7 linked regions of the Canis lupus familiaris genome follow. The protein of the gene in region 6 interacts with the protein of the main gene of each other region in a pairwise test. Links are inferred from orthologs where the notes say so. Each region holds a gene or a part of one and is shown on either strand. Other genes may lie near its edges.

Region 1 (3,814 bases), on a different chromosome or scaffold from region 6:
CCGGGAGGGTTTTAAGCAGAAGAGTGAGGTCACTTGGTGTGTGTTCACAGAGTACAGAACAGACTTTAGGGAGACAAAGATGGACTAGGGCGGTTCAGAGGCTGGTGCAGACATCCAAACAAGAGAGGATAGTGGCTCCCCACAGTGTGCTGACTGCAATGAGAAAACTAAATTTATCTGAGCAAAAACCATAAGTGGAATCGAGAAACTTGGGGGGGGGGGGACGCTGTATGCATATATTTTTAGAAACTTGTTGAAGAAATAGTAGGTGGTGAAAATCATGGAGACAGGAAATTAAAAATGATTGAAAGTTGGTAGTGGATCAGGAGCTCCAGCTCTGTGGGCAGCAGCTGTGTCTCCTTGGAGGAAGCGACTTCCATTCTCTGAGCTGGTTCTGTCATCTTCAGAATGGGGATGATCATGGCACACGCCTCACAGAGCTGTGGACAGGGCGATGTAAAGGTTTTGGCACAGGATCCAGCACACAATAAACATTGAAGAAGCGTCATCCTGGGAGCTAGACTGCTAAGTTCCAGTACCATCTCTGCCACGCACTGGCTGGCTGGCTGTGCCATCTCGGTGAAATTCACCCCTCTGTAAAACGAGGCTATCATGAACTCCAACTTCAGAGGGTCAGGTCGTGATGATTAAATTAATGAGTACAAGGAAGCCATTTAGAATGAGGCGGCCCGGAGGAAGCACCGCATACGTGCAGGCTATTATTACGAATATATGTTGCCCATATTTCGTCAACTCTTCCCCCACCAGCAGATGCCCGCCTCACTCTGCGGATGGGTCGTCTGCGGCTCAGAACCAGGTGGCCTCTCCTCGGGGATCTAACTTAACATCCTGCGGGGGGCGGTCCCTCCCGGCTACCGGGGAAAGGGAGACTCCCGCCTTAAAGGACCACGCCCCCGCCCCGCCCCGCCCCGCCCCGCCCCGCCCGCGAGATGCCTAGCAGAACCTTTAAGTGCCGCGCTCCGGTTTCCAGCCGGCGCGCTCGCGCTGCTGAGCCGGCGCTCGGAGCTACTTCCGGCGGCCGCGCTCCGCCCCCGGGCGGCTCCATTTTGGCCGCAGGTGGAGACTAGGCCTGGGCGGGCGGAGTCTCGGGGGGGCGTCCTCGGCAATCGCGGGGCCGAGTGGGCTCACGGCACCGTCTCCTCTCCTTCGCCCGCAGAAACCGGGGGCGAGCATGGCGGGCTTGGAGGTCCTGTTCGCGTCGGTGGCGCCGGCCATCACCTCCGCACAGGACGCGCTCGTCTGCTTTCTGCACTGGGAGGTGGTGACGCACGGCTACTACAGCGTGGGGACCGGCGACCAGGTAGGCCGGAGAGCCAGCCGTGGCGGGGGGGGCGTGGGGTGGGGGGTGGGGGGTGGTGTCTTCTGCCCGGGTCCGGGGCGCGGGCCTGACGCTGCCTCGCCCGAGTCCGGTCCCCGGGGGCTGCCGACGCCGTCGGTCCAGGGAGCGGTGCGGGGTGCCCGGCCCGGCGCCCCTCACGACACAGCTGGGACTACATGATTCGGAAGCCCGAGGACGGAAGCTTGCTTCAGCACAGCCTGGATCGTGCGGTCCTGACGCTGAGACCCGGGCGTCGCTCCGCTGAGGACTGCGCTGGCGGGAGGGGGGGGGGGCTCCACTCGAGCCTCCACGGGTGAATCTGAATCCGAGCGCGCTTACACGGTGAGCTTCGACCTGTTCAGCCCCCCTCAGGGGCCCTTCCTTAACTCCACACGGCTTTCACCTTTCACTGAAGGGCCCCGTGAGGTTCCCACCCGCCGCTGTCATCCCTAGCTCCAGTTCTGGGAAACAGCCAGCAGCCACCCCATCCCCTCCCGCTCCCCCACCCCCACCCCCACCCCCAGGTGCACTCCTGCAGCTGGGATGTGAGGGCCAGGTAAGATTACCTCCCCAACAGCTGCCCTCCCTACAGGATCAGCCCCTCCTGCTCGCCCATCCTCAGGCTGCCTCTGGGAGCTGGGGGCCTTGTCCACGCCCACTGAGCCCTGGGACTCCTGGGCCTTGCCTACTGCGTAATTCTTTGGGGGAGCCTTTGTTCATCTTCCTTGCCCCTTCCCTGGCTTGCTTTCACCCTCCACATCATCCTGCACATTAGCTTCCTGTGAGAACTGGGCCTGGCTGCCTTCCTGCCCCTTCAGTTCTCTTCTACTTCATCAGAGTAGATACCCTCTTAGCCACCCACTCCACATACACGCGGGATGCCCCAGCCTGCCCCTCACCACCACCTTCTCACCCTCAGAAGCTAGATCAGCTCTGGGGAGTAGGGCACCTCACCCCTTGCATCTCTTATGGTGAGATTTGGGCCCTACTTTCATTTCTAACTGCTTCAGTTCTCAAACTCCCTAATCCTTTCTTAGTTACTTAGATGTACATCTAGCGTCTTATGTTGTCCTTTCCTGACACAGCTTTAAGGATCCCTCCTCAGACACAGCGTCCACATCCCGAGCACTGAGAGGCCAGGCATTCCCTTCCACTCCCTGCCGCCCCTCCCTCTGTCCTTTAGAGCAGTGGACGAGATCACCACTCCCTCTCACACTTTCCCCACCAACAGGAGTCACATCAAAAGCACAAGAACTGTCATGATGTCAGGCTTGTTTTTTTCCTGCCAGACCTTGAGTATCTCACAGGGACGCCAGATACACACTTAGCATCCCCCATCCCCAGCCCCCTCCAGGCTCAGACATACATTGCCCCTCATGTGGAATCTGGGACTGGGTATAAGGCTGGAAAAGAAGAGGCCTCACACACGTGGAAGCAGGAACCACGTTTTCCTCCCAAATAGCTCTGTTCTTGGTCTTACTGTCCACTCTGCACTCCATTCCATTTATCCTGTCTTTCTGCATTTCAAGCCTTGGGATTGGGTAGAGAGGAGGCCTCTACCCACAAGTATTAGACTCCCACTCCAGGGCAGTATCCCCAACAGCAACTTTATGTTTCATCACTTGTCCCACTTTAGCTTTCTTTTCTTTTTTTTTTTTTCTTTTAAGATTTTATTTATTTAGTCATGAGAAACAGAGAGGAGAGAGAGACAGAGACACAGGCAGAGGGAGAAGCAGGCTCCATGCAGGGAACCCAATATGGGACTCGGTCCTGGGTCTCCAGGATCACGCCCTGCGCTGAAGGTGGCGCTAAACCGCTGAGCCACCCGGGCTGCCCCCACTTTAGCTTTCTAATCTTGTGTGACTCTTTAACTTGCCCTGGTCATTTCATTTCAGCTCTGCCTGGGAAATCCAGGAAGCTGATGTACAGAATGGCATGGAGTGCAGTGGGGTTGGAGAGGGAAGGAAGACTTACTTGGTCCTGCCTTTGGGGCTCCTCTGTGGGCCCTCAGTTCCCCCCACCCCTTGCTCTGTCCTTCAGATATAACAGATCTGCCCTGCTCTCTGCCTTTGCTCATGGACCTCACCTTGTTTACTCCTAACTAGCTACTTCTGCTCTGACACAGTTGGGATCTTTCCCCCCAGAACAGGAACATGTTACCAAGGGCCTGTGTGACTCCCTCACTTCTCTCCCATGTCACAGGGACATGTCATCACTGCAGATCTGCTCCCACCAATTGTCCCTTCACACACCTGTCAGCAGCTCTGGGTTGTTCTGACAGCTTAGGGATGTCAGTTTGTATGGGTCATTGCCTCCTTCGACATCATCACCTTGCCGAATACTCTGGGCCCCAATTTTTCAGGTGAACTGTGCAGAAAGAATACAATCCCATTTAGCACTGATTTTAAAAAATAAAAGATCTTTGATTCCTAAAGATCCATCTAATTCCACTCTGTTCATGGTGCCACCTGTTGA
Region 2 (3,814 bases), on a different chromosome or scaffold from region 6:
GAAACGCTTGGTGTCTGGTAAATGCTTGGTGTTGGCGGATGAATCCTCCCATTGACTCTGCCCCCTTTCTGCTGCCTCAGGATCTCCGGCGGAAAGCGGCTCGGCTGGTGGCTGCCAAGTGCACACTGGCAGCCCGTGTGGACAGCTTCCACGAGAGCACAGAAGGGAAGGTGAGGCACAGCAGGCATCTGTGTGGGTCTGTCTCCTCTACCAGACTTGTCATTGTTCAGGTCATCACTGAGTTTACCTCTATCTCTCTTGGCAGACTTGCTCCATGAAAGTGGGTATATCTTGTCTTGTGCAGTCTGGCACAGTGTCCAGGCTTCAGTCTCTTTCTCTCACTGCCCCCCACTTTTCCTCTTGACCACTGGTTGAGGTTCCAGTGGGGACAGCAGTGAGCACTCCGACCAAAGCCATGCCCCTGTGGCATTCATGTTCTGGCTGGGGGCGGGGTGAGGACACGGGCCATCTGTGGTGTGTCCAGGGATGCCACATAAATGCTAGGGTGGGATCAAAGGGTGCTGGGCTGGTGAGGGAGGTTGAGTTTAACCCGGACGTTGGGGAGGGCTTTGCTGCAAAGGTGAAGGTCTAATCTGCACCCAAGTGAAGTTGGTGCAAGTGAAGCAAGTTGGTGAAGTGAAGCAAGTCAAGTGAGTGCCTGGGGGAAGAGTCCTAGGAAGGAGAAGCAGCCAGTGCAATGGCCCTGAGCCTGGCCCACAGGAAGCCAGGGAGAGGAGGCTGTGGGATGGGACAGGTCACGCAGAGCCTGTGTGCCCCAGAGAGACCTTGGCTGTAGCAGAGATGCTGAGGGGTGCGATTTGGGGTCTTAACTGAAGGAAAAGCCCAGAGGGAGAGAAGCCAGAGGTGAGGCTCCCAAGTGACCTCCCTTTACCAACTTGTGCAGGCCGGAGCTGGAGGCTGGGGAAGAGGTGCAGGTGTGCGGTTTGGCCCTGTTGCACTCGGGGGCTGCCCTCCTTCTCCCCCATCAAGGACAGAATTATATGAGGGGTGCTGGGAGAAGTCTGAGTCTCCCAAGAAACACAGGCCCCCCAGGCCTGGGAACAGGTGCCACACACAGGTAGAGGGATGGGCAAGGCTCAATGGGACCCCCTGCCCTCCCCAGGTGGGATATGAGCTGAAGGATGAAATCGAGCGCAAGTTTGACAAATGGCAGGAGCCGCCGCCCGTGAAGCAGGTGAAGCCCCTGCCTGCACCCCTGGACGGGCAGCGCAAGAAGCGAGGTGGCCGCAGGTAGGCCCTGAGGGCCAGTGGGGGTGAAGAGGAGGGGAAGGGGCTTGTGACCCCAGCTGACCCCTGGCGCCCCTCCCCAGGTACCGCAAGATGAAGGAGCGGCTAGGGCTGACCGAGATCCGGAAGCAGGCCAACCGCATGAGCTTCGGAGAGGTCAAAGCCTTAGTCTGGATGTCCCCACCACATTTCTTCTCGGCTGAGGCAGCACCTCACCTCCAGCCTCCCCCCACATCCATGTACCCTGAAGGGACCTATGCAGCATTCAGTGTTGGCCCTGTCCCCCGACCCCCACCCTTTTGTACACACCTCCCTGTCGGGTTGGATCTGCCCAGGGAGGGTCCTTCCTCAGGCTTCACCTCTGCCAGACTCATTACCCAAGCATCATCCTCATGGTCCTGCAAGAACCAGCTCAAACACCCTCTAGTCAGCAAGCCCAGTTTTGGTTGTTGACACTGCATACATGAACACTCACAGCTTCCCTCAACTGTCAGCTCAGGGAGCCGTAATAGGACTGGACTCCTCACTGGGCCCCAGCAGGCACCTGAATCGGGTCAGTGCCTGGGGCATCCGGCTGATGAAAGATGGCTAACTCTTGGTTACCTTCCCCTCCCACCAGATCGAGGAAGACGCCTACCAAGAGGACCTGGGCTTCAGCCTGGGCCATCTGGGCAAATCAGGCAGCGGGCGGGTACGGCAGACACAGGTGAACGAGGCCACCAAAGCCAGGATCTCTAAGACACTGCAGGTACAGGCGGGGCCTGAGTGGGCCTGGGAGTCTGGGAGCTCCAGCAGGAGAGCCCAAGCCAAGCCCAAACATCCTGTCCCCTCCCCTCCACACAGCGGACCCTGCAGAAGCAGAGTGTCGTGTATGGCGGGAAGTCCACCATCCGTGACCGCTCCTCGGGGACTGCTTCCAGTGTGGCTTTCACCCCTTTGCAGGTACTGTGCACCTGAGTCAGGAGGCCCAGTTCTGGGCAGGCTCTACTCCCAGCTTTCTGAGTGGACCTGGGCAAGCCCCTTCCTCTCGCAGGGCTGTTGTGGACAGCCTTGTGTATCAGTGAAGCCCCTGAAAGGTACAGCTCAGTTCCTGGTGCTCAGGCTAGTGGGAGCAGAAGGGAAAAGGTCTGCCTGCAAGTGCAGGCTGGCTTTAGGATCGGGCTGGGACTAGGGGTGACTACTGATTCCCCATGACCTCAAGTGGGCTCAGCTCCTCCCTGAGGTGCTAAGTGGCTGGGACAACCTCAGGGCTCCACGGAAGAAAACTCAAAGGTAGCTGGCTGGGAAGCAGAGGTCCCAGCCCAGCCACTCATGCACAGGACAGAGCCTCTGCATCTGTCCATTTCTCAGCCTACCCACAGATAGCGCCAGCACGCCCCATAGCATCGAGTAGAATAACTGAGTTCATTGGCAACATCAGCAAGGGTGTACTGAGCACCTAAGTTTCAGGTGCTGTTGCAGGCACTGGGGATAGAGCCACAAGCACAAGACAGCAAGCCTTGCCCTCAGGGAGCTTGTGGGGTGGCAGGGGTCAGATAAGATATGGAGCCTGGTGGAAAGTGGAAAGTGCAGGGAAGAAAGGGGAGAGGGAGTGAGGCATCGGGTTGGACCCGCCCAGGGAGGCCTCAGCAAGAAGGTCAGAATTACCTGTGGAAGATACTGGGAATGGTGCCAGCCAGTGTGGAGCCCCCACAGCTGGACGCCGTGTCACCAGTAGGCTTGGTGTAATTTGCACGAGGGCCAGAGGTGAGCCACTTAGCTCTGTGACTCAGTTTCCTTATTCAGGAACCAAACCCGGTCAGCTGTTCTGAAACATTGATTTTTTTTTTTTAAGATTTTTATTTATTTATTTATTCATGAGAGACATACAGAGAGAGAGAGACAGAGACACAGGCAGAGGGAGAAGCAGGCTCCATGCAGGAGGCCTGATGTGGGACCCCATCCCGGGTCTCCAGGATCATCAGGCCCTGGGCTGAAGGCGGCGCTAAACTGCTGAGCCACCTGGGCTGCCCAACATTGATGCTTTTAAAATTGCTTAGAGAACTTGATAAAAATTCAGATGCCCAGGTCCTCCCCACTCTTCCCTCTTCCCAGAGCCACAGTTAGAATCTCCCCAGGTTTGGGGTGGGGGCAATTTGGTAATTGGAAAACTGTTCTATCACCTGGAGCCCGGAACCATTGAAAAGGGCCTCCCCGACATGTCACAATTCTCTTACTGGGTAAGGGGGCCTTGTCAGGGGCCAGCCCATCTCCCCACCCCATCATTACCTCATTCACCTGCCCAGGGCCTAGAGATTGTGAACCCACAAGCAGCTGAGAAGAAGGTGGCTGAAGCCAACCAGAAGTATTTCTCCAGCATGGCCGAGTTCCTCAAGGTCAAGGGCGAGAAAAGCGGCATCATGTCCACCTGAGGGGCTGTACCCTGGGTGGCTGCCCCTGAAGCTACACAGGCCCTGCCCTTCTGAAGGGATCAGGATCAGGATAGGGCTGGGAGGTTCTGTCCTCAGCCCAGTGCCAGGACTGTCCAGGAAGACTCAGGAGGAGACCCAGTCCCCACGCACGAGAT
Region 3 (4,384 bases), on a different chromosome or scaffold from region 6:
ATCTAGCACAAATAGGTTCACTCACACTTTCTAATTATTATTATTTTTTTAAAAGATTTTATTTATTGATTCATGAGAGACACACCACAGAGAGAGAGACGCAGAGACCCAGGCAGAGGGAGAAGCAGGCTCCATGCAGGGAGCCCGACGTGGGACTCCATCCCGGGTCTCCAGGATCGTGCCCTGGGCTGAAGGCGGTGCTAAACCACTGAGCCACCCGAGCTGCCCACACTTTCTAATTATTATTCTTTCATTGACACATTGCTTCTTCTTTGTTGATTATACTTAAATCTATTATCTACTTGGAAATTTCATAAACATTCAAATTCTGTATTCCCAGGCCAAAATTCATTGAGTTGGCAAAATAAATTCTCCCCCAAAAAAAGGAAAAGAAGAGAAGAAAAAAAGTATTAGGAAAGATTTAACTTCTATGCTCACGGAAAGGGCAATTTATTTTATTTTCAAGATTTTATTTATTTTAGAAAAAGTGTGTGTGAGCATGTGAGCGAGTACAGAGGGGAGGCGCAGAAGGGAAGGGAAAGGATCTCAGGCCGACTCCTGGCTGAGTGCGGAACCCCACCCGGGGCTCGATCTCACGACCCTGAGATCATGACCTGAGCGGAAATCAAGAGTTGGACGCTTAACTGATCGTACCCCCCCCCCCAGGCTCCCCTGGAAAGGGCAATTTAATAAGACATTCATAAAGTACATTTACAAGGAACACAGGAGTCCTCGTCCATTCAAAGCTTTCCTGAGCGTTCGCTCCGATCTCCACACAGGAGGGATGAAGAAGCTAAGCAGGCTCCGCAGGTACCGGGGCAGCCCAGTGTGGTGCGTGCTGGACTGCAGTGGGGTCAGTGGATTAGTCTTGGGGAGAGGAAGGGGCTGGGGTAAGAGCAGCCCAGAGGAGGTTTCGCAAAGCACAGGCTCAAGTGAAAAGTTCACTACAAGATTCCTTGTAAATCGGCTCTCCGGGAAATAAGTAAACTGAGGAACTAAAATCAGAGAGAACAGCCACGACAGGGGAAACCAGGTAGGCGGAGCCGGCCGGGCAACAGCGACGAGGTCCTGGAGTCAATGCTGGAGGGAGAACCAGGGGCTCAGGGTCCTACAGGCCTCACTTACATACCGGTTTGGCGGCTCAGTTTATGAAGTTCGCTAAGTCCCCTCACTCCTCGGTTAACTCTTCATCCAGAAAAACAAATGTGTACCGTGGTGTTTGCTTGACAATGAAGCCACACAAAAAGGATTTTTTTTAAGAACTAAGGAAATTAGGGGCCCCGGCGGCTCCGTGGTTGGGGCGTGACCCGGCGGCCGGGCCCAGTGGGGGGGGGGGGAGCCCGCTTCTCCCTCGGGGTCTCTCCTGAGCACATACATAAATGAAGCCTTAAAGAAAAGAACTACGGCAACTAGGAACCAAGTCTGAGCGTGACCTCCACTCCCACCTCTAGACTAGGGCGGGAAGTTGTCCAGGACGTGTCTTAGGATCTATCCTGCGGCCCGGGGAGCCCGGGGTGCCGGGGAGCGCGCAGCCCAGGCCCTTCTCGCGGCGCCGGCGCGGGGCGCACGGTCACCCGGACCCCAGGGCCGCCGGCTCCGCCCGGGACACGCCTAATCCCTCGGGGCTGCCAGCGCCCGGGCGGGGTAAAAACACGAGGCAGCTTCCCTGGCCCGGGCTGACCCGCCGCCCCCGACCCCCCCCCCCCCCGGCGCAGGTGCAGCTCCCCCGGCGGGCGCGGGGCGGGGCGCGGGGGGCCCGCAGGGAGCCCGGCCACTCTGTCCTCAGCCCGGCCGCCCGCGGAGGGGCACGACCCGCCCGGGGCCGCCGGCTCCGGCTCCGGCTCCGGCTCCCAGCTGCGCCTTACGGCCCGCGGAGCCCGCTCCCCGCCCCGAGGCCCTGGGCGCTCCGGCTCCACCACCAGGGCCCGACGTCCCGCCCGCCAACTCCGTGCCCACGACGCCACCGCGGCCGCTCCCGCTCCCCTCGGCCCGCAACCCGCCGCCCGGCCCCTGGTCCCCCAGCGCCCCGGTTCCTAACCCCTGGTCCCTTGGTCCCCCGGTCCCTAAACCCCCAGCCCCCCGGTCCCCAACCCCCCTTGTCCCACAACGCCCCCCCAGACCCCCGGTCCCTAAACCCCTGGTTCCCCAGCTCCCCGGTCCCTACACCCCTAGTCCCCCAGTCCCTACCTCCCTGGTCCCTACACCCCCGGTCCCTAACCCCCTGGTCCCCCAGCCCCCCTAGTCCCTAACTCCCTGGTCCCCCGGTCCCCAAACCTCCAGTTCCCTGGTCCCCAACTCCCTGGTCCTCCCGTCCCCCCCCCCCGTCCCTAACCCCCCAGCCCCCTGGTCCCTACCCCCCTGGTCCCCCCGCCCCCAACTCCCTGGTCTTCCGGCTCCCAGGTCCCTAACCCCCAGCTCCCTGGTCCCCCGCCCCCCGGTCCCTAACCCCCCAGCCCCCTGGTCCCTAGTCTCCCTGGTCCCTGGTCCCCAGCTCCCTGGTCCCTACCCCCCTGGTCCCCCGCCCCCTGCTCCCTGGTCCCCCGCCCCCCCGGTCCCTAACCCCCAGCCCCCTGGTCCCCCCGTCCCCCAGCCCCCTGGTCCCTAGTCCCCCAGGTCCCTAACCCCCAGCCCCCTGGTCCCTAGTCTCCCTGGTCCCTGGTCCCCAGCTCCCTGGTCCCCCGCCCCCCGGTCCCTGACCCCCAGCCCCCGGTCTCCCCCGGTCTCCCCCGGCCCCCCGGCGCGGCCCCTGCGGACGGACGGCGGCCTCTCGGGCGGGGCGGCGGCGCGGGCGGGGGTCCGTCCGTCCCGGGGCCCGCGGGGAGCGGCCGGGAGCGCCCCGTGTCCCGCAGACCCCAACATGGCGTCGGCCGCCGCCCGCGACGACGACACCTCCCCGCGCCGCAGACGGCCGGGACCGCGGGGGAAGCGCCGGAAAGTTTCGCTTCTCCCCGGGCCGGCCGGGCTCCCGCGCACACGCACCTCGGGCTTCGCCTGCCCGGCCGGGCGGCGGCGGCGGCGGCGGCGGCGGCGGCGGCGGGGGTCCGGCTCCTCCTGGCCCCGGGCTCCGGGGCGGACTCTGCCCCCCGCCTCCCGGGGCGTGTGCGGCGGCGGCGGCGGCGGCGGAGGAGGCGGAGGAGGAGGCGGAGGAGGAGGCCCGCAGCCGGCGCGATCCGGACCCTGCGGGCGGGCGCTCGCTCGCTCCCTCGCAGGTGACTCCCCCGCCCCGCGGGTCGAGCCCCACAACGGCCGCCCGCCGGCCTCTCCCCTGCGCGTGCACCGGCGCCGCCGCCCACACGCCCCGAGCCCCGGGCACGAGCGCCTCCGCCGGGCCCGCGCCCCGCCCCCCGCCCCTTGCGCCCCGCGCCGCCGCCCCGCCCGCCCGGTGGGCGTGGCCCAGCCGAGACCCCGCCCCGCCGCCAGGGTGGGCGTGGCCGAGGCCCGCCCCACAGCCCGGGTGGGCGTGGCCGAAGCCGAGGCCCCGCCCCCGCCCCACCGCCGCCAGAGAGGGCGTGGCCGAGGCTGAGGCCCCCGCCGCCCGTGCCGCCGCCCCGCCCCGCTGCCAGGGTGGGCGTGGCCGAGGCTGGAGCCCCGCCCCCCCGCCGCCCCGTCCCGCGGCGAGCTCCAGGGGGCGGGGCCTCGGGCTCGGCCACGCCCACCCCGGCGGCCGGGCTGCTCCGAGACCCGGGGGCGTCCTGGGCGCGGCGGGCCTCGGGGAGGGGCTGCGCGTCTCCTGACCCGGTTCCTCGGAGGCGTCTCCCCGCCACGGAACGGGCGTCCCCGCGGACCTCGGGAACTTCCCGCGGGCGGGAGAGAAAGGCTCCTGGATGTACGTGCCCGGAGGCGCGCGGCCCGCGCTGCCCGCCGCCCCAGGGCCTCGCTCGCGCGCCCCGGGCCGGGCCTCCTTGACCCAGGGCGCCTCCCCCGCACTCGGGCCCGCGCCGCCCGCCGCACCCTCAAGGGCCGCCTGCCCGCCCGCCCGCCTGCCCGCCGCTGCGCTCCTGCGGGGCTTCCCCGACGCCCACAGCCTCACCCACCCACGCCGCGTACCTGCGAGCACTCCCAGGGCCCCGGAGGCCACAGGCCCTGGCTCCGGGACACCCGCACACCCCGCAACCCCGCACACCCTGGACACCGCGCACACCCCGGACACTCCGCACACCCCGCACACCCCGCACACCCCAGACACCGCGCAACCGTGCACACCCTGCAACCCCGCACACCCTGCACACCCCGCAACCCCGGACACCCCAGACACCCCGCACACCTCGCACACCCCGCACACCCTGGACACCGCGCACACCCCGGACACCCTGCACATCCCGAACACCCCGCACACCCTGGACACCGCGCACACCCTGGACACCCTGCACATCCCGCACACCGC
Region 4 (4,284 bases), on a different chromosome or scaffold from region 6:
AATCTGAGGCCTGACCCATGCCTCCACTGGCAGCTGTGTGGCTTTGGGCCACACACCTCCCATTAGTTCTCAGTTTGACCTTGTAAAGAAATCGTTGGGCTGGCTAGTGAGTGGTCTGTAGTTATCAAGGACAGTGTCCGCCCCCCCCCCCCCCCCCCCAATTTTTGACCTCACAGCCCTCCTACAGTTCTATGGCCCACTAAAACGGAGGCAGAAACTCCAAGGTTTCTGCCCTCCAGGGGCCTGAAGGAGACGGAGGATAGTGGAGACCTTTCCCGGCACTCTTCACAGCTCTCCGGTGGAGAGCAAGTTGCAGGCCTTGACCTGGACCGCCGCTTCCAAACACGAACCTCCAAACCTCCGTGAGTGGGCGTGGGTGCTCAAGATTCTCCCCCCACCAGGTTGCAGAATTGGGAGAGGGACAGATACCAGTTTAACAAAATCTCTTAGGGGAACTGCATCTGTATAAACCAAAAGAAGTTCCCTGTGATAGACTGCATACTTTTAACAGAAACGTTTTGGCAGGCCGGTATGCGAGAGTCACTAACTGGGCTAGATTGTGCACCTTCCCGACCGGACTGGAGAGTTCACGGGAAGGACGCGGCGTTGGCCCCTGACGGTGTGTGGGGAGCGTTTAGAACCCGACTGAGGCCCTCAGTCTCCCCTTTCAGCTACTTCGGTGCTTGCGTGTGATGAAAACGCACCCGAAATTCCACTTCCTTTTGCCTAGTTTCATCTCGGGCCTGAACTTGGGTCTCTAATTCGGAGCTGGACGGAGGGTGGCAGGAAGGGACCACAGGGGCCAGGGCCTGATGTCGCCGTTTGGGACTCCTCGGGCTCCAGAAGCCCGGGGGAGGAGCCAGGGTCGTCTCGGACAGCCTCGCGTACGCCAGGCTCAAGAAGCCACTACAGAGCGGATTCACCGAGACGCGGCCACGGAGGACACAGCCCGGCGGCGGGAACCCCGCTGGCCGCTCCGCCCCTTCCCGCTCGGACCCGGCCTCCCGCTCGGAGCGGCCCGCCCATCCCGGGGTCTGAGCCAATAGGAAACCGAGATATATATGACTCACCATGTCTAACCAATCAGCTCGACGCTCGCTCTCCGCCAGCATCTCGCGCGATAACCAGGCGGCCTCTGACTTCACAATAAAAACCTTCCTTGAGGTGAAAGACTTCTCTCCCCGCCCCCCAGGCTGACGCCGGAAGCGAGGTGTGTCTGAGGAATCCCTCCGCGCTCCCGGCGGCAGAGGGAGGAGAGGCTCTTTGATCTTAGTAGCCTTGCAAAGTAGCGCGCCTTTTTCCTTTCTCGAGACGTTGGAAGTAACAACTCTTCTCTTCACAGCTACGCCGTGGACCTAAAAGTCGCTGGTCGGACACGATAGGGGCGTCGGATCGCGAAGACGGGTGGGTGGGAGGCGCGGGTCACGTGACCGCGGCGGAAGGATGTGCGGTGTGATGCGTCCTCATAGAGGCAAAGTCTATAAAGGACCCTCGATCGGCGCGGCGCGGCCATTTCCCTTCCTCCCGCCTGTAGATGTAGATCCCTGTGGCAAGCGTGCGCCTTCCCTCCTCCAATCCCCCAGGGTCCGCGGCCGCCATGGCGTATTAGAGGCAGCAGTGCCTGCGGCAGCATTGGCCTTTGCAGCGGCGGCAGCAGCACCAGGCTCTGCAGCGGCACCCCCCAGCGGCTTAAGCCATGGCGTAAGTACGGGGCCGCCCGCGCCGTGCTCCCCCGGGTCGGCGAGGGCAGTCGGCCCGCCTGGGCGCGGCCTGCGGCGGGGCGGGGCGGTGCCGCGTAGGGGGAAGCGGCTTTACGAGCGCCCGGGACGCGTGGCCCCTGTTTGGGTGTCCTCGAGACGCCGACGCTTCTGGGTCAGGAGAGTGCGGCCCGGCGGGGAGAAGCGAGCCCTCGGCGGCCCCGGCCCCGGCCGCGGCCCCCGACGGCTTCCCGCCCGGCCCCCCGCGAAACGTGGCAGGGGCCAAGATGGCGGCCGGGCAGGGCGGCGGCGGCGCAGCGTGAGTCACGGGCGGCCGTGGGCGGGGCCGGGCGGCCTGGGCCGTATTTGGACATGAGCCGGGCGCGCCTCCTCCGGCGGCGGGGGGAGGAGCGGCCCGGCCCCGAGGGCGTCCATCTTGGGCGGCCCGACGGGGCCGCGGGGAAGGTGGAAGCCATGGCCCCGGGGCCACGTGTCCCCGAGCCTCTGCTCCCGAGTGGAGTTCCAGTCTGGCCGTCCTGCCCCCGGGAGGAAGGGATGAGCTTCCCGGACCGGCCGATGTCGAAGGGGTTTCGGTTTCTGCTTCCGTTTCAGGCTTTTCACGGCATCCAGCAGCAGCGTTGCTGTAACCGACAAAGACACCTTCGAATTAAGCACATTCCTCGATTCCAGTAAAGTCCCGCGACATGGCCGAGATGAGTTTCCTGAGCAGCGAGGTGTTGGTGGGGGACTTGATGTCCCCCTTCGACCAGTCGGGTTTGGGGGCTGAGGAAAGCCTAGGTCTCTTAGACGACTACCTGGAGGTGGCCAAGCACTTCAAACCTCATGGGTTCTCCAGCGACAAGGCTAAGGCGGGCTCCTCCGAATGGCTGGCTTTGGATGGGTTGGTCAGTGCCTCAGACAACGGCAAGGGTGAGTGGGGGTCGTTGGCCGCCGGGTCTGGTCTCCGGGCTGTTGCTGAAGTGTGCGTCTGACCTCTCGGGTTCCTTCTTGACTCTTTTGCAGAGGATGCCTTCTCCGGGACAGATTGGATGGTGGAGAAAATGGATCTGAAGGAGTTTGATTTTGACACTCTGTTCAGTATAGATGACCTGGAAACCATGCCAGATGAGCTTTTGGCCACGTTGGATGACACGTGTGATCTCTTTGACCCCCTAGTCCAGGAGACTAATAAGGAGCCCCCTCAGATCGTGAACCCAATTGGCCATCTCCCAGAAAGTTTACCAAAAACAGACCAGATTGCCCCCTTTACCTTTCTGCAACCACTTCCACTCTCCCCAGGGGCCCTGTCCTCCACTCCAGATCATTCTTTTAGTTTAGAGCTAGGCAGTGAAGTGGATATCTCTGAAGGAGATAGAAAGTCAGATTCTACTGCTTACATTACCGTGATCCCTCAGTGCATAAAGGAGGAAGATGCCCCCTCAGATAATGACAGTGGCATCTGTATGAGTCCTGAGTCCTATCTTGGGTCCCCCCAGCATAGCCCCTCTACCTCCAGGGGCTCTCCAAATAGGAGCCTGCTGTCTCCAGGTTCCCTCTGTGGTTCTGCCCGCCCCAAACCCTATGACCCTCCTGGAGAGAAGACCGCAAAAGTAAAGGTTGAGAAACTAGATAAGAAACTGAAAAAAATGGAGCAGAACAAGACAGCAGCCACTAGGTACCGCCAGAAGAAGAGGGCAGAGCAGGAAGCCCTCACTGGTGAGTGTAAAGAACTGGAAAAGAAGAACGAGGCTCTGAAGGAGAGGGCAGATTCTTTAGCTAAGGAGATCCAGTATCTGAAAGATTTGATAGAGGAGGTCAGAAAGGCCAGGGAGAAGAAAAGGGTCCCCTAGTTGGGGGTGTCAGGAATGTGTGCTTGTACATAGGCTTGCGCTGAAGCTGTGTTGTAATAAATTATTTTGTAGTGAAAGTACTTGAGCTCGTGTGTACCTGGTTTCTTGTCTTAATCTCTACCCTGGTGATGGTGACCAAGTCAAGTGGAGTTGGCTCAATCCTGTTGGGCTCAGGGCCTCCACAGGAGACTCTGGGGGTGAGGCTGTGGCCTCATAAGCCATAACACTGACTAGTCTTGAGTACCCAGGTAAGGCCCCACCTGGGCATACAAGGTTAAATTCCACTTTGAACTCAAGTTCTGTAAACTCAATCCTGGAACTGCAAAGAAAAGGTCTTTGGGTTTTTCTTGGAATGGACTGTTAAAGGAGTTTTAAAGAGATGCAGAAATTCTTAGCCAGTGCTGGGCTCAAAGGCTGGCAATCTGACCAGAGGAATCCTTGCTGCAATTGGTGTGCAGGGCTAGCTCTCCAGGAAGAGCCAGTCTTGACGTTCATTGGAATGGCGATGGGGACACCCAGTGTGGCACCAGGTAGTGTGAGCTTTTTATGTGCTTTCTCCTGGTCCCTGGGGTAACCCTGTGGGGCATTTCCTCTGGGGAAAGTAGGTATGTGAAGGAACCTATGGCTCTTCACCCATTTGGCCCCTCGAAGAGCTTGGAAAACAAGGCATGTGAGGGTCTGTCTGCAAGGTGGGCCTGTGTTTCCCTGATCTGCTTCCCAATGCCCAGCATAGTAAG
Region 5 (4,282 bases), on a different chromosome or scaffold from region 6:
TGAATAAATAGTTTTATATGACGGCTGGCAGCTGCGGCCTCTCCTCTCCCCCCAGGAGTCAGTGAGCGCTGGGGTCTTGCTGGTGGGGCGCCGGGCCCACTGGGGATTGAACTGGGAGTTGTACCGCCTCCGCCGTTCATCTGTCTCCTCCTCAGGCTGCTCCTCCTGGGGGGTTGTGCTCCGGACTCGTGCCAGCAGGGCCTCTGCCCGAGCCCGTTCTGTTGCTTCCCGCCGAAGACGTTCAGCTCGAAGCTGGTCCAGGGATGGGGGTCTGGGGGGAGAACACTCAGGTCAGAAAGCTTATAGCCCCTAGAGGTCCCACTTTCCCCCAAGAAGGAGCTGCCCCACCTGGAACCCCGTCCACCTCTACCTGCTCTGGTCTGAGAGGTTTGTGGGTAGGAAGCTGGCCTCATGCTGTGCAAGGACCCAGGACTGCCATCACTGCCCCTGATGCCCCTCCAAATCATGAGCTATGATGATGAGCACAGCCAGGACCTCAGTTTCTCCTTCTGTAGGAGCTAGGAGACCTGCTCAGGTTTGTCCTCCTTGGGACACAAACCTGCTCTGACTGACCCCGTGGTTCTCAAACTAGACCCCAGAAAGCTTTGTGTCAGTGGGTTTCATCTATTGCTATTTTGCATAGAAGCGAGAAAACCTTGAAACAAGGTTACGTCCCCAGTCACCACAGTGTCTCTTCACGCCCTGTCTCTTTAGAAGCCACTGGACAATCAAGGCTGAGTGAAGGGTCACAGGGGCTCAGGAAAACCAGCTTGCCTCTGCAGACCCCCTGCTAGGGCGTTGGAGCCCCAAAGCCACACGTGGCGAGCCGCCTCCCCAGGCCCCCAGCCCCTCACCCTGACAGCACCAATGCAGCTGCCCACTTCCTTACACTTCAGGCCGCTGCTTCTCAGGCTTCTCCTTCCCCTTCCTGCCATGGCCACCATTGTCCCCACTGTGCCGTCTCTTCCTCCTCAAGTGCTTCTGTATCTCCTGTAGAGGGTCCAGGCGGTTCTTGATCTTTTCATCTGGACCTGGGCTGAGCTGGGGGGCCCCTTGCCGTGGGGGTAGCTGATACCAAGGCAGCTGAGTCTGGGCTTCTGCTGCACTCTGGCCCAGGTAGGTCAGGATGCCCAGAGCTTTCTCCTGCCTCTCCTGAGGGGGACAGAAAGAGGGAACTGAGGATGTCAGCGATGTCTCCACTCAGGGAGCCCTACCTGTGACAACAGAATCCCCCAGGCTCCTGGACAGGTAGAAGCAGCATGAGTCAACTCAGCCATTTTTCCAAGGACAGGTGGGCCTCCTGCACTGGGCAGAGTGTCAATTCAATAACAAAAAACACAAGGGGGAAGGACAGGGTGCAGCTGCTTTAGGGTTCAGAGGCAGCATCTTTGGGGAGATACTTTAAAGATGAACCTGAAAGCCCGCCAGCAAGGCAAAGGAGTGAGGCGAGACAAAGGCAAGTTCAGAGTTTGGTGGGAACCCCTGAAAGTGGGTAAGTGACAGGACCCAGGTTCTGATTTAGATGAAAAAGCTTCCTAATACACCTCCACAGGGTCTTGACATCAGCCCAAGGGGTCTGTACCTGACAGTGCCGTGCACCCACTTCCAAGCCCCTGCAGGGAGGGTGCCAATAACCCACACTGGGAGTGCTGTGTTCCAGTACTGAGTTCTCTGTGTCAGCTCATTTCATCCCCACCCTACCTCTCTGTTCCCATCAGTCACCCCAGACTTTACCCCTGACTGACAGGGACGGGTGTGGGGGGGGCGCGCAGCTTACTTTCTCCTGTCGCTTTTCTTCCTCATACTCTCTATTGCCTCTGGTCGCCCCTTTCCCTTCCTCCAGCAGCTCCCGAAATAGGTCCACAGGGCCAGAACTGGGGGCTCCCGCCTCTGCTGCTTGGAGCTCAGGTAGCGAGTGCTGGTGCCTGGCTTTCTTCCGTAGGAATTCTGTGCGGGCCTGGGGGAAAGAAAGTTACAGGCAGAGCATTCATTGCCTAGCCATGCCTCCAAGAACTGTGAGACCGGTGCCAAGCACAGAGAATCCCCGTGCTGGTGCTGAGGGCTCATCAGAGCATCACCCAGCCTGGGGGAGAGGATGGGAGAATGAGGTGACACCTGGGTTTGTACGCTGCCTTTGGTGAACCAGAAGGGTTTCCCAACCTCAGCTGGCACAATAAAAACAGCTAGGAAGGCAGCCCAAAATTTGCGAGCAGGCGACCAGAAATACAGTAAGGCTCCAGATCACTGTCCCTCGACCACGTGCAATCTGCTGACCAAAGTGAGCTTTAAAAGCCCAGACCACCTCCCGGCCAGCGGTGAGGGCCAGATTCGTTAACAAACTTCAAACTCCGTGCACACTAGAAGCTAGAAGTTACTCCGAGAACCCCCGGGGTTGGGGGCCGCGGGGAGAGGGCTGGCCCCACAGGGGGATGGGTACGTCCCACTTCTCTGCACAGCGGAGGGCAGTGCCCTCTGGGCACGAACAGAGCAGGTCCAGCGCTCTGCTCGGGGCGAGCATACAGCAGACGCTCCAGAGGGGTCGGGCAGGAACACTAAACGTGGGTCTGCGTTTCTTTGAACTGCACAGGATTCATTTTTTCAGCAGCCCCTACTCTAAGCCAGGCACACCCCGGCCTCACGCAAAACGAGTGGCGGAAACCAGGGCAAAGGGGAGGCCCAGGTGGGGAAGCCTCAGGTAGGGCCCGCGCAGGCGAGCCCCTGCGTTTCCAACCGCGCCCAGCTCCTCCAGCCTCACGGGAGGCACTGCGCGTGTGCGCCATCCCGCTTCCGGCCCCTCCCCCACGCGCCTGCGCGCTCGGCCCGGGAGTCGCGTCCGACCGCACTCGGGGCTTACCTCCTGCTGAGCGAGCAGCACCCTCCGCTCACGTTCTTTCTCCTCCTCTCGGGCCTGAGCCTCGTCACGCCGCACGCGGGCGACATTGTCCTTGTTCCGGACGTGCCAACTCTTCTTGGGCAAGATATTCATGGCGTCGTAGCCGTCCACCGACTGCAGGCCCACCTCTGAGCACTTTCTATTGGCGAGAGGATGCCGTTCCCTGTTGTTCCTGCCTCAGCTACGGATTGGCCCTGGGCTGGCTGCCACGCCCCTCCAAGTCCGTAGCGAGCGCTGATTGGCTGAGATGCCGAATTCGGGTTGGTGTAGCCTGGAGACCGCCTCTTCACCAGGTCCTGAGCCAATCACTTGTCCCCGCCCTGAAGCTACGGGACGCGGCCGCTGATTGGCTGGCCTTCTCGAGGCCGATAATCTGATTGGCCGGCTCAGGATGCAAGTTACAAACAAAGCGCTCTGCAGTCTCAGCGGCGTTTATTGGTACGAGAAAGGTTAACGCGAGAGTGAGGGGGTGTCAGGGCCCCGGAAATCTCCGCAGCCGGGGACTTAGGGTCTTCTCAAGTTCTCTTTTACAGATGAGGTGCGGGCTTCCATAGGGTCCGGGGGCAGGATGAAGTGGGCCATGGTCCCGAGCAGGGCTAGGGAGGTCGAAGAGCCCCGGTGGCCGAGCTCAGTGCCACAGCGCGCTGTGCCAGGAAGACCTTATTCTGCGCCTCCTGGGTAGAGGTAAAGGGTAAAGAGAAGTGCAGGTGAGGCCGACCGCTCCCCACCATTTCTTTCAACATCCAGGACCCCCTACCATGAACCCGCTTTGCCTCACCGTCTCTATCTGGCGTTTGAGCTCAGAGACCAGACGTCCATAGGAGTTAGCCAAGGCCAGGGTATATGCCATCAGGATGCTATAGGGACGGAAATGGAAGCCATACCCAGGGGGCTCTTAGCATATCTTCAGTGTAAAGGCTCCTTAGAAACCGGGGATCTGGACTCCCAGCCCCACCCCACCCCCGCCAGACCCCTCCTCCCTCAGACCCGGGAGTCCAGGCTCCTCCAACCTCAGACCCAAGAGTCCAGGCCCCCAGCCCCCTCCCTCCTCAGACCCAGGAGTCCTGGCCCCCAACCCCTCCTTTCTTAGAAACAGGCAGTAGGGGCCCCCAGGGAACACAAACTCAGACCCAGGATTCTGGGCTCCCTCACCTGGAGATTAAGAGAAGAGGCACAGCAAAAGCCTGGGTCCCCAGGAAAAAGAGAAAGTTCTGGACGGTCTGAGGGAGGTTGGAAATAGACTCAGGGATCTGGGCCCAGATAGACGACTGCCCTTGGAATGGACCACACAGCTTAGAAGGTGGGATCCTGAAGAAGTCAGAGACAGTGTTCAAGGATGGCCAAGATTCAGAATCCTGGATGAGGGTGGAAGGAAGGAGGGAAGGAGAA
Region 6 (3,591 bases):
GGAGAGAGTGGGCACTGAGAAATATGAGCCACTGCCCTGAGACATGAGTCACTCGTTCCCTGGCCATATCCACAGGGGAATCTGTTCCAAGATCCCCAGCAGATGCCTGAAACTGAGGATAGTCTTGAATTATATATAGACTATATTTTTTCCTATACGTACTTGATACAATTTAAATAAGTTAGGCACACTAAGACATTACTAGCTCATGTGATAAAATAGAATGTTTGTAACACATAACTATTATGCAAGTTTCAAAATATCTCTTAAAGTATCTTACTGTCCTGTACTCACCCTTCTTGTGATGACGTGAGATGATAGAATGCGTAGTGATCCGACGCCAGGCTACTGGTTGATCTTCTGGTGCCAGGTCAGAAGGAGGGTCAGCTGATTCCGGATCAAACCACCCTTGGCACGGGTGACTGAAAGCACCGGAGAGCAAAACCGTGGATCAGGAGGGACTCCTGTGTGTACTGCAGGAAGAGAAGAGTGAAAGCTAAGCAGTTGCAGCAGTCTGGGTGGGATAAGGAAGGCTGGATCAGGGTGGTATAGTGGGAGAAGTGACTGATCTGGGGATATATTTTAAAAGCAGAGCCAACAAAATTTCAGCTCTAGGGTCCTGGACTCAACGATTTAAATAATCCAGTTCAAAGTAGAAAGCCCAAAGCATTTAAAAACACAAGTGTTCATTGTTAAGCAACAAACAACATGCGACCGAGGGCCAAGGGGCATTAACAGGACATGAAACAGAGGGTCAAAGAGAGGCGAGAGCCTGCAAATCGTTCTCCAGTGGTGCTTTTGCAGAAGTTTTTATACTTGACTGTTTAGAAAAAAATACTTTTTAAAAAAGGATGTAGGTATACAATATTGTTTCCCAACTAAAGAAAAAAAAACCCCATTTAGATATTGTTTTGTTTTCAAAGAGGAGCCCCAAGGAAGGGTCTTTCGCAACTCCGAAAGGATGCGTGGCTCCCGCGGGGCAGGCCGCAGCGCCAGCAGTTCCCTGGGTGAGTGGGATTTCAATAAGCGAGGACGTGTGTCACCGAAACGCGCAGGTGGAATCTCGTAGCCACAGACCCACCAAGGAGCCCCGCACTGTGTGAGTCGGCTGAGTCCGAGCGTGACCGATCCTTTAAAGTTGAGCAGGTTGGCCCTCTCTGAGCTGGCTTTTGGCGGTCCCGGGGCGCACATCCGGGGCTCTAGCGCGGGAGCCTGCCCTTCCCGGGCGCCGGCCTCGGGAACTCCGGCCGCGGGCCCCCGGCTCCCGCCCGCCCCCTCCCTTGGACCGAGCCCCCGGCCCCGCCCCCGGCCCGCCGGCCCCGCCCCGGCCCCGCCCCCTCGCGGCGCCGGCAGCGCCCTGACCACGCCCCCCGACCCGGGCCGCGCCGGCGCGCCGGCCGCCCGAGTGGCTGTGCGGGCGGAGCTTGCGCAGCAGCCGGACCCCAGCGCGCACCGCCCTCCGCCCCTGGCCACCGTGCGCCTCGGCGGACACGCACTTCCTGCGAGGCCTCCGTGCGCACCTGAGCCGAGCCCAGCCCTGCGCTTGCAAGCCGTTCGCCATGGTGGACGAGCTGGTGCTGCTGCTGCACGCGCTCCTGATGCGGCACCGCGCCCTGAGCATCGAGAACAGCCAGCTCATGGAACAGCTGCGGCTGCTGGTGTGCGAGAGGGCCACCCTGCTGCGCCAGGTACGTCCGCCGAGCTGCCCGGTGCCCTTCCCCGAAACGTTTAGCGGCGAGAGCTCCCGGCTCCCCGAGTTTATCGTGCAGACGGCGTCTTACATGCTCGTCAACGAGAACCGATTCTGCAACGACGCCATGAAGGTGGCATTCCTAATCAGCCTGCTCACCGGGGAAGCCGAGGAGTGGGTGGTGCCCTACATTGAGATGGATAGCCCCATCCTAGGTGATTACCGGGCCTTCCTCGATGAGATGAAACAGTGTTTTGGCTGGGATGACGACGAAGAAGACGACGACGACGACGACGAGGAAGATGATTACTAGGCCGGGAGACCCTCGGGCCCAGGGGGGAGGGCCCTGCACGCCGCCATCCTCTCCCCCGCCTCTCCTGCCCGGCCCGGAGCCGCCCAGCGCCCTTCCGCCCTCCCATCCCCTTCCCTACCCCCAGCTCTCCGGTTCTCTCCGTCATCCCCCTGTAGTGCTTGCCTTTGTTCCGGTTACCTGCTGCTGGGGCCTCGCTCGGAAGCGCGCCGCCACCCACTCTGGCCAGCCCCGGGGCCCTCCCCTGCTGATTTGGACTGTGTCCTGAGCCCCAGCTATAGGGCAGGCCCCTGTTACAAACTGGTCAGACCACGCACAGCCCTGCCCTGCCGACTGCAAGGCCTCCATCTGCCCAGAGACCTACGCTGCCACTTCACCACCGTCCACCACATTCCAGCGACAGAACACAGCCTTTGAAAATAAGGACCAACCTAGAAGATGCCTGAGTTGGCTCTATGTCCTTGGACATTGATTTGGACAGCTCACCAGCCCCTGAAGGGGCCAGTCTTTCAACCTGGTTAGTTCCCTGCCTACTCCCAGGGTCCTCCCCTTCCCCACCAGATTGCTGCAGGGGCCTAGTGCGCCTGGCAGCCAAATTGTTGACATTTCTTTTCTCCTATGCACCAGTTTTGCACAGCTGTCCTTTTTCTTTCCAAACTGCAGCAGTCCCAACAGATGTGTGCATTTGGACAGAAATACTAAAAACAAAACAAACAAACAAAAACAGGCACTCAGCCCAGCTCCTCAATACCACCTGGAAAAAAGCATTTACGTTCTTTTCAATAAATATCAAGCACTACAAAAATAAAGAAAGGAGTGTCTTTTAATGGTTAAGTGCTATCATTGGCCTCTTCCAATCTCACTCTGACTCCCGTTATGCCCCCTGAGGTCAGGGAACTTAGTTCAGTCCCAGTATTCGCCACTGTCATCTCTAGGCTACAGAGGACAACTACCACAGGGTTTTCTAGGAATTCTGGTACTCTCCTCACCAAGGCATTTCTTAAAGCCCTGGCAAAAGGAGTGAGTGTCCTCTGGGGCCTCCAGGGTGGCATGGGTAAGGGGTGGCTGAGCAGGTGGCACACCATCCCAAACTGGGACACTTGAGAGTTAAAGGGGGACACTGTTAATAATTAGACTAGGACAACAGGCATAAATCTGGACACATACAATGTTATTATCTTCTTGAGCCTTTGGATTCCTTACTCAACACTGCCAGAGAAATTCTGTCCCTTAAGTCTTGTTGCCCGCGGGGCGCTGTTGAGTTCAGACTTCAGTTAACTACGTAGCATATTGTTTTAATGCCCCTTTCAGGTGCTTGAACTGACATTAAGCCCTGGATCCTGTGTGAGTGAACCCATACTAAATAGAGCGTGATCTTAACATTTCAGCACCCCGGGTGCACTGTCTTAGAATCCCCACCCATACATATGTCCCAGATTCCTGCCTATGGAAATTGGAGACTGACTGTCTCCTGAACTAGACCTTGTACTGCTATCTGGGCTATGCTGAGACCTCTTTGTGGGCCTGGAGGGCTCCGAGGCATTCAGGGAGTGGGGTGGGGGTGCTGAGAAGAACTCTTTGAAATGTGAAA
Region 7 (4,431 bases), on a different chromosome or scaffold from region 6:
CATATGTATAATCAACAGCACTTAAAATTTATGCATTCTTCTATAGGTGTATCATTCTTCAATTTTTTAAGTTTTTAAAAATCTTAAAACAAAACAGAAAACCAGGTTGGGTAATCATTCGGTTCCAGTTCTGGCTCTGCTCCTGGCTATTGTCCTTGGGCAGGTAACTGACCTCCCTAGCTCAAGTGTCCTTTTCTATAAAATAGGCATGCCCCTCACCTCAAAGCATGTTGACAATTAAATATAAGAATCCATCTGAAAGCACTTTATTCAGCATCTGGCACAGAGTAGGCAGGCACGACAGCACAGTCACTAGGAGCTTCAGTTATGAGGCAGGTGCTTTTCTGTACCTCAGTTCCCTAATCTGTACAACAAGGATTAGAGACAGTACCTTCTTCATAGGGTTATTAGAAAGATTTTGAGAGATGGTACAAGTAAATGATGCATCTTTCATAGCTATAAAATGTTACTGTTTTTGAAGAGCTTTTGCGTTCATTAATTCAAATGATCTTCACCTACTTCCACAAGAGGATGGGTGCATTTGATTGATTATGAACTAGATTCCAGACTGTACCATCTTTTAGGAACAGGAGGAGTGGACATCCATCTTACGAAAAGGAAATTGCATGAATAGTGCATATGGGGAATGAACAGAGATGAAAATAAGGAGATCAGGATTCTGGTTTCAACTATGCCAGTACCTTAGCCCACAGCTGCAGAGAAGTGCTTTATCAGAATGGGGTTCACTCCTCATCTGTAATGAAGTGGGCTGCATGAGGTTATCTATATAACATCTCTCCAAATAAAATTTGAACTCCTTACCATGGCCTACAGGAAGACCTACATTGTCTGTCATCTGCTTACATCTCCTATTCATCATCTACCATTCTCCTGCTCACTCACCATGTTCCAGCACCATCAATCCTCTCACTGATCTTCTAAAAGGCTGTACCAGCTTCTACCTCATAGCCTACATACGTGCTCTTCCCTCTGCCTTGATTCTTCTGCCCTTTTACATGATTGGCTCCTTCTCAACCTTCAGTCCTTTAGCATCCATTCCTCAGAGTCCTTCCCAGACCATATTACCCAAAGGTAATAGGTCCTGTCTCCTACTGCCAGGGGTTATTTTATTTTTTTTTTTAAGATTTTATTTATTTATTCACGAGGGACAGAGAGACAGAGGCATAGGCAAAGGGAGAAGAAGGTGCCTCACAGGCAGCCCGATGTGGGACGCAATCCCAGAACCCCGGGATCACGCCCTGAGCCAAAGACAGACACTCAACCACTGAGCCACCTAGGTGTCCCTCAGGGGTTATTTTCAATCATAGCACTATCTAATAAAAATATACTGAAAGCCACAAATGAGCCACATATACAGCCACATATAACTTTAAATTTTCTAGTAGTCATATTAAAAAAAAGTTTAAAAGAAAGTAACATTAACTTTAATAATATATTTTCTTTAAGCCAATATACCCCACATATCATTTCAACATGGAATTGATATAAAGATTATTAATATACGTTACATTAATTTATTTCACACTAAATCCTGGAAATCCAATGTGTATTTTACACATAGCTCTCAATTCCACACATAGCTCTCAATTCCAACTAGCCACATTTCAAGTAGCCACAGGTGCCAGTGGCTATCTCACAAAACAGCACAGTTACAGAGTATACTCTGCTTAGCCTTCAAGAGCCTATCACAATCTGAATTTACTTACACACTTATCATCTTCTAACTTTCTCACCAGACTACAAGCTCCACAGAAGCAAGAACCTTGTCTGTTTTGTTCAATATTGTATACTCAGAGGATTTTGAACAGTAGGCGTTCAATAAATGTTTTTTGAGCAAATGAATGAATCTCTTTTAGCTTCAATATTCTGAGTCAGTGGGCCTGCCATTCTACAACTCCCAAACAGATATGTAACCACTCATTCAACAACCTTATTTCCTTTCTTCTTTCATGTTCAATAACTGTCTTAAAAAGAGAAATCTCGGGCAGCCCCGGGGGCTCAGAGGTTTAGCACCTGCCTTCAGCCCAGGGTGTGATTCTGGCAACTCAGGATCGAGTCCCATGTCGGGCTCCCTGCATGGAGCCTGCTTCTCCCTCTGCCTGTGTCTATGCCTCTCTCTCTCTCTCTCTGTGTGTGTGTTTCTCATGAATAAATAAAATCTTAAAAAAAAAAAAAAAGAGAGAGAGATAAATCTCTTGGCTATATATCTCCCGTTGCTTATAAGTTCTTTTCTACGACGTCTCCAAGGTCTGTTCTTCATATACTGGCTGAGGGAGTGACATGAATATAATTGTTAGTGTTTGCTGAACTTTTACTCTTTGACAAGCATTGGCAGACCATTAAGAACTTCATGACAGACTTATGTGGCAGGTACCATCTTTGCCCCTAATTACACATGGGGAAACCAAGGCACAAAGAGTTAGTTAAGTAAGTATTCTGTGCAAGGTTACAGCAGCCAGTTAATAGCAAAAGAGACACTCCAAGGAACAAGCAGCCCCGGCCCCTAGTTCTTAACGACCTATTCTCTACTGCAGACCTGCCAATGGAAATACAAGACCGGTTATATATGCAATTTTAATAGCCACACTAAAAGGTAAGTAGCCACCTGAACAACGTGGACAGCGGGGCTCTACTGCCTCTCACGAGGGGCCCCTGTAGGAAGTCAAGGAGGGGGAAACCTTTGAACTGGGAGCCAGGAGACCTCAGCTCCAATCCCAGCTCTTACTTGTTGAGTGACTCTGGATAAGTCCTTTCTGCCCTCTGGGCCGCGGATTCCCGCCAAGTAGCCAGAGCAGGGAGGACGAGAAGATTCCACGCTAGAATTCCACGCATCTCCTAACAATGGCATGGGAACAGCTCTTACACTTTACAACCAGCTTTCACACCCGGTAGTTTGCAACGGAGGCCTCAGACAACCCAACGGGAGGGTTAGGACTGTCGCCGTCTTACAGATACAAAAACTGACGCTCAAAGAGGGGGAGATGACTCGTCCGAAGGGCACATGGCTAATTACTGGGGAAGCCGGGGTCAAAGGCGGGCAAGGCCAGTGCCCTCCCACCGCCGCCACCAACACAACGCCCGGGGGACCGGAAAGCCGACGAGATGGCTGCGAAGGTGGCCGGGGGCCTGCGGAAGAGTTGACGGGGACCAGGCCCCAACCCAGGGTAGGGCAAGAAGAGGCCCAGGCTGCAGCTGAGACGAAGGAGCCTGCGCTCTGAGAAGGAATGAACCAAAGGGCCCAGGAAAGTCTCAGGGGAGTGGAGTGAAACGAGGGGCTCGGACGCCGGAGCCTCAGGAGCGCGGGGGACGCGGCCGGGGACAGAGGCGACGCGGGGGGAGATGAAGGGGCTCTGGTCCCGCGACCGCAGAGCCCTGCCTGGGTGAGGGGATGGCTCCCGGCCTGCCTCGCCCCTCATACCTGGTAGCTCAGAAGTTCGCCCACATCCATGGTACCAGGCCCAGCCAACACCTGCTACTCAGCTTCCCTCCACTCACGGCCAAACCGCGGGCCCCTCCGCTGCGGCTCCGGCCACACTGCCGGAAAGCGCGGTGAGCGGGTCGCACGGCCAATGAGGTAAAAGTGAGAGGGCCACGGAAGCCGGCCACACTGCTGTAAAAGGCAACGCCACCGTAACGCGCGCTGCATTTGCGACGGTACTGCTTCCGCCCGGAGCCTGAAGGAGGCGGGGCGTGGGGGGAAGGGGGCGGAGACTTGGAGGAGGGCGGTAGGGTGAGAGGAAAGACCCAAAGGAGCCAGGATTTGTTGGGCGCCCCCTATGTGCAGGGCGGAGCAGCGAGAGTTTCACTTGTGCTCTCCAATTTTTTTTAAAGATTTTATTTATTTATTTATTTATTTATTTATTTATTTATTTATTTATTTATTTATTTATTTATTTATTTATTCATGAGAAACACAGAGAGAGGCAGAGACATAGGCAGAAGGAGAAGCAGGCTCCATATGGGGAGCCTGATGTAGGACTCGATCCCAGGACCCCAGGATCATGCCCTGAGCCACCCAGGCATCCCTATGACCTAGCCAATTTTATCCTCATTTCACAAATAAGGAAACTGAGGCGTAGAAATGCATTGTCCAGTTCTATATCTACTAACCACATGTGGCAACCGAGGGCTTGAAATACAGCTAGTCTGAGTTGAAATGTGCCATAAATGTAAATAAAATACACACCAGATTTCTAAGATTTTTTTCTTTTTAAGATTTTATTTATTTATTCATGAGAGACACAGAGAGAGAGAGAGGCAGAGACACAGGCAGAGGGAGAAGCAGGCTCCATGCAGGGAGCCCAATGCAGGACTCGAACCAGGGACTCCAGGGTCACGCCCTGGGCTGAAGGCAGGTGCCCAACTGCTGAGCCACCCAGGGGTCCTGATTTCTAAGAGTTCTGTTGATTA

The links.
Region 1: the proteins of LDOC1 (region 6) and PSMF1 interact in binary tests that used the Homo sapiens proteins (3 or more experiments, as listed by UniProt). The two-hybrid records come from large-scale screens. The link is inferred for Canis lupus familiaris from reciprocal best matches to the Homo sapiens genes LDOC1 and PSMF1.
Region 2: the proteins of LDOC1 (region 6) and PRPF31 interact in binary tests that used the Homo sapiens proteins (3 or more experiments, as listed by UniProt). The two-hybrid records come from large-scale screens. The link is inferred for Canis lupus familiaris from reciprocal best matches to the Homo sapiens genes LDOC1 and PRPF31.
Region 3: the proteins of LDOC1 (region 6) and PLEKHF2 interact in binary tests that used the Homo sapiens proteins (3 or more experiments, as listed by UniProt). The two-hybrid records come from large-scale screens. The link is inferred for Canis lupus familiaris from reciprocal best matches to the Homo sapiens genes LDOC1 and PLEKHF2.
Region 4: the proteins of LDOC1 (region 6) and ATF4 interact in binary tests that used the Homo sapiens proteins (3 or more experiments, as listed by UniProt). The link is inferred for Canis lupus familiaris from reciprocal best matches to the Homo sapiens genes LDOC1 and ATF4.
Region 5: the proteins of LDOC1 (region 6) and LENG1 interact in binary tests that used the Homo sapiens proteins (3 or more experiments, as listed by UniProt). The two-hybrid records come from large-scale screens. The link is inferred for Canis lupus familiaris from reciprocal best matches to the Homo sapiens genes LDOC1 and LENG1.
Region 7: the proteins of LDOC1 (region 6) and CTNNBL1 interact in binary tests that used the Homo sapiens proteins (3 or more experiments, as listed by UniProt). The two-hybrid records come from large-scale screens. The link is inferred for Canis lupus familiaris from reciprocal best matches to the Homo sapiens genes LDOC1 and CTNNBL1.

Annotation. Positions count from the first base shown.
Region 1 is NC_049245.1:20,361,539-20,365,352, reverse strand, and holds part of PSMF1 (proteasome inhibitor PI31 subunit), read left to right. Parts: intron 1-969; exon of another isoform or gene 970-1,077; intron 1,078-1,177; 5' UTR 1,178-1,192; coding exon 1,193-1,321; intron 1,322-3,750; exon of another isoform or gene 3,751-3,814. UniProt on the Homo sapiens protein: Plays an important role in control of proteasome function. Inhibits the hydrolysis of protein and peptide substrates by the 20S proteasome. Also inhibits the activation of the proteasome by the proteasome regulatory proteins PA700 and PA28.
Region 2 is NC_049222.1:103,832,064-103,835,877, reverse strand, and holds part of PRPF31 (U4/U6 small nuclear ribonucleoprotein Prp31), read left to right. Parts: intron 1-80; coding exon 81-170; intron 171-1,123; coding exon 1,124-1,251; intron 1,252-1,331; coding exon 1,332-1,404; intron 1,405-1,867; coding exon 1,868-1,996; intron 1,997-2,091; coding exon 2,092-2,190; intron 2,191-3,533; coding exon 3,534-3,659; 3' UTR 3,660-3,814. UniProt on the Homo sapiens protein: Involved in pre-mRNA splicing as component of the spliceosome. Required for the assembly of the U4/U5/U6 tri-snRNP complex, one of the building blocks of the spliceosome.
Region 3 is NC_049250.1:40,413,935-40,418,318, forward strand, and holds the start of PLEKHF2 (pleckstrin homology domain-containing family F member 2), read right to left. Parts: upstream 3,062-4,384; 5' UTR 2,980-3,061; intron 1,416-2,979; exon of another isoform or gene 1,130-1,415; intron 1-1,129. UniProt on the Homo sapiens protein: May play a role in early endosome fusion upstream of RAB5, hence regulating receptor trafficking and fluid-phase transport. Enhances cellular sensitivity to TNF-induced apoptosis.
Region 4 is NC_049231.1:26,489,571-26,493,854, reverse strand, and holds ATF4 (cyclic AMP-dependent transcription factor ATF-4), read left to right. Parts: upstream 1-1,487; 5' UTR 1,488-1,701; intron 1,702-2,309; 5' UTR 2,310-2,401; coding exon 2,402-2,627; intron 2,628-2,720; coding exon 2,721-3,547; 3' UTR 3,548-3,632; downstream 3,633-4,284. UniProt on the Homo sapiens protein: Transcription factor that binds the cAMP response element (CRE) (consensus: 5'-GTGACGT[AC][AG]-3') and displays two biological functions, as regulator of metabolic and redox processes under normal cellular conditions, and as master transcription factor during integrated stress response (ISR).
Region 5 is NC_049222.1:103,811,728-103,816,009, reverse strand, and holds the start of LENG1 (leukocyte receptor cluster member 1), read right to left. Parts: upstream 3,047-4,282; 5' UTR 2,987-3,046; coding exon 2,855-2,986; intron 1,958-2,854; coding exon 1,778-1,957; intron 1,153-1,777; coding exon 890-1,152; intron 272-889; coding exon 1-271. Other genes in the region: TMC4 (transmembrane channel-like protein 4), read right to left, coding at 3,490-3,567, 3,672-3,750, 4,046-4,201.
Region 6 is NC_049260.1:112,048,841-112,052,431, forward strand, and holds LDOC1 (protein LDOC1), read left to right. Parts: upstream 1-1,412; 5' UTR 1,413-1,559; coding exon 1,560-2,003; 3' UTR 2,004-2,827; downstream 2,828-3,591. UniProt on the Homo sapiens protein: May have an important role in the development and/or progression of some cancers.
Region 7 is NC_049245.1:26,819,745-26,824,175, reverse strand, and holds the start of CTNNBL1 (beta-catenin-like protein 1), read right to left. Parts: upstream 2,882-4,431; 5' UTR 2,870-2,881; coding exon 2,747-2,869; exon of another isoform or gene 2,627-2,746; intron 1-2,626. UniProt on the Homo sapiens protein: Component of the PRP19-CDC5L complex that forms an integral part of the spliceosome and is required for activating pre-mRNA splicing.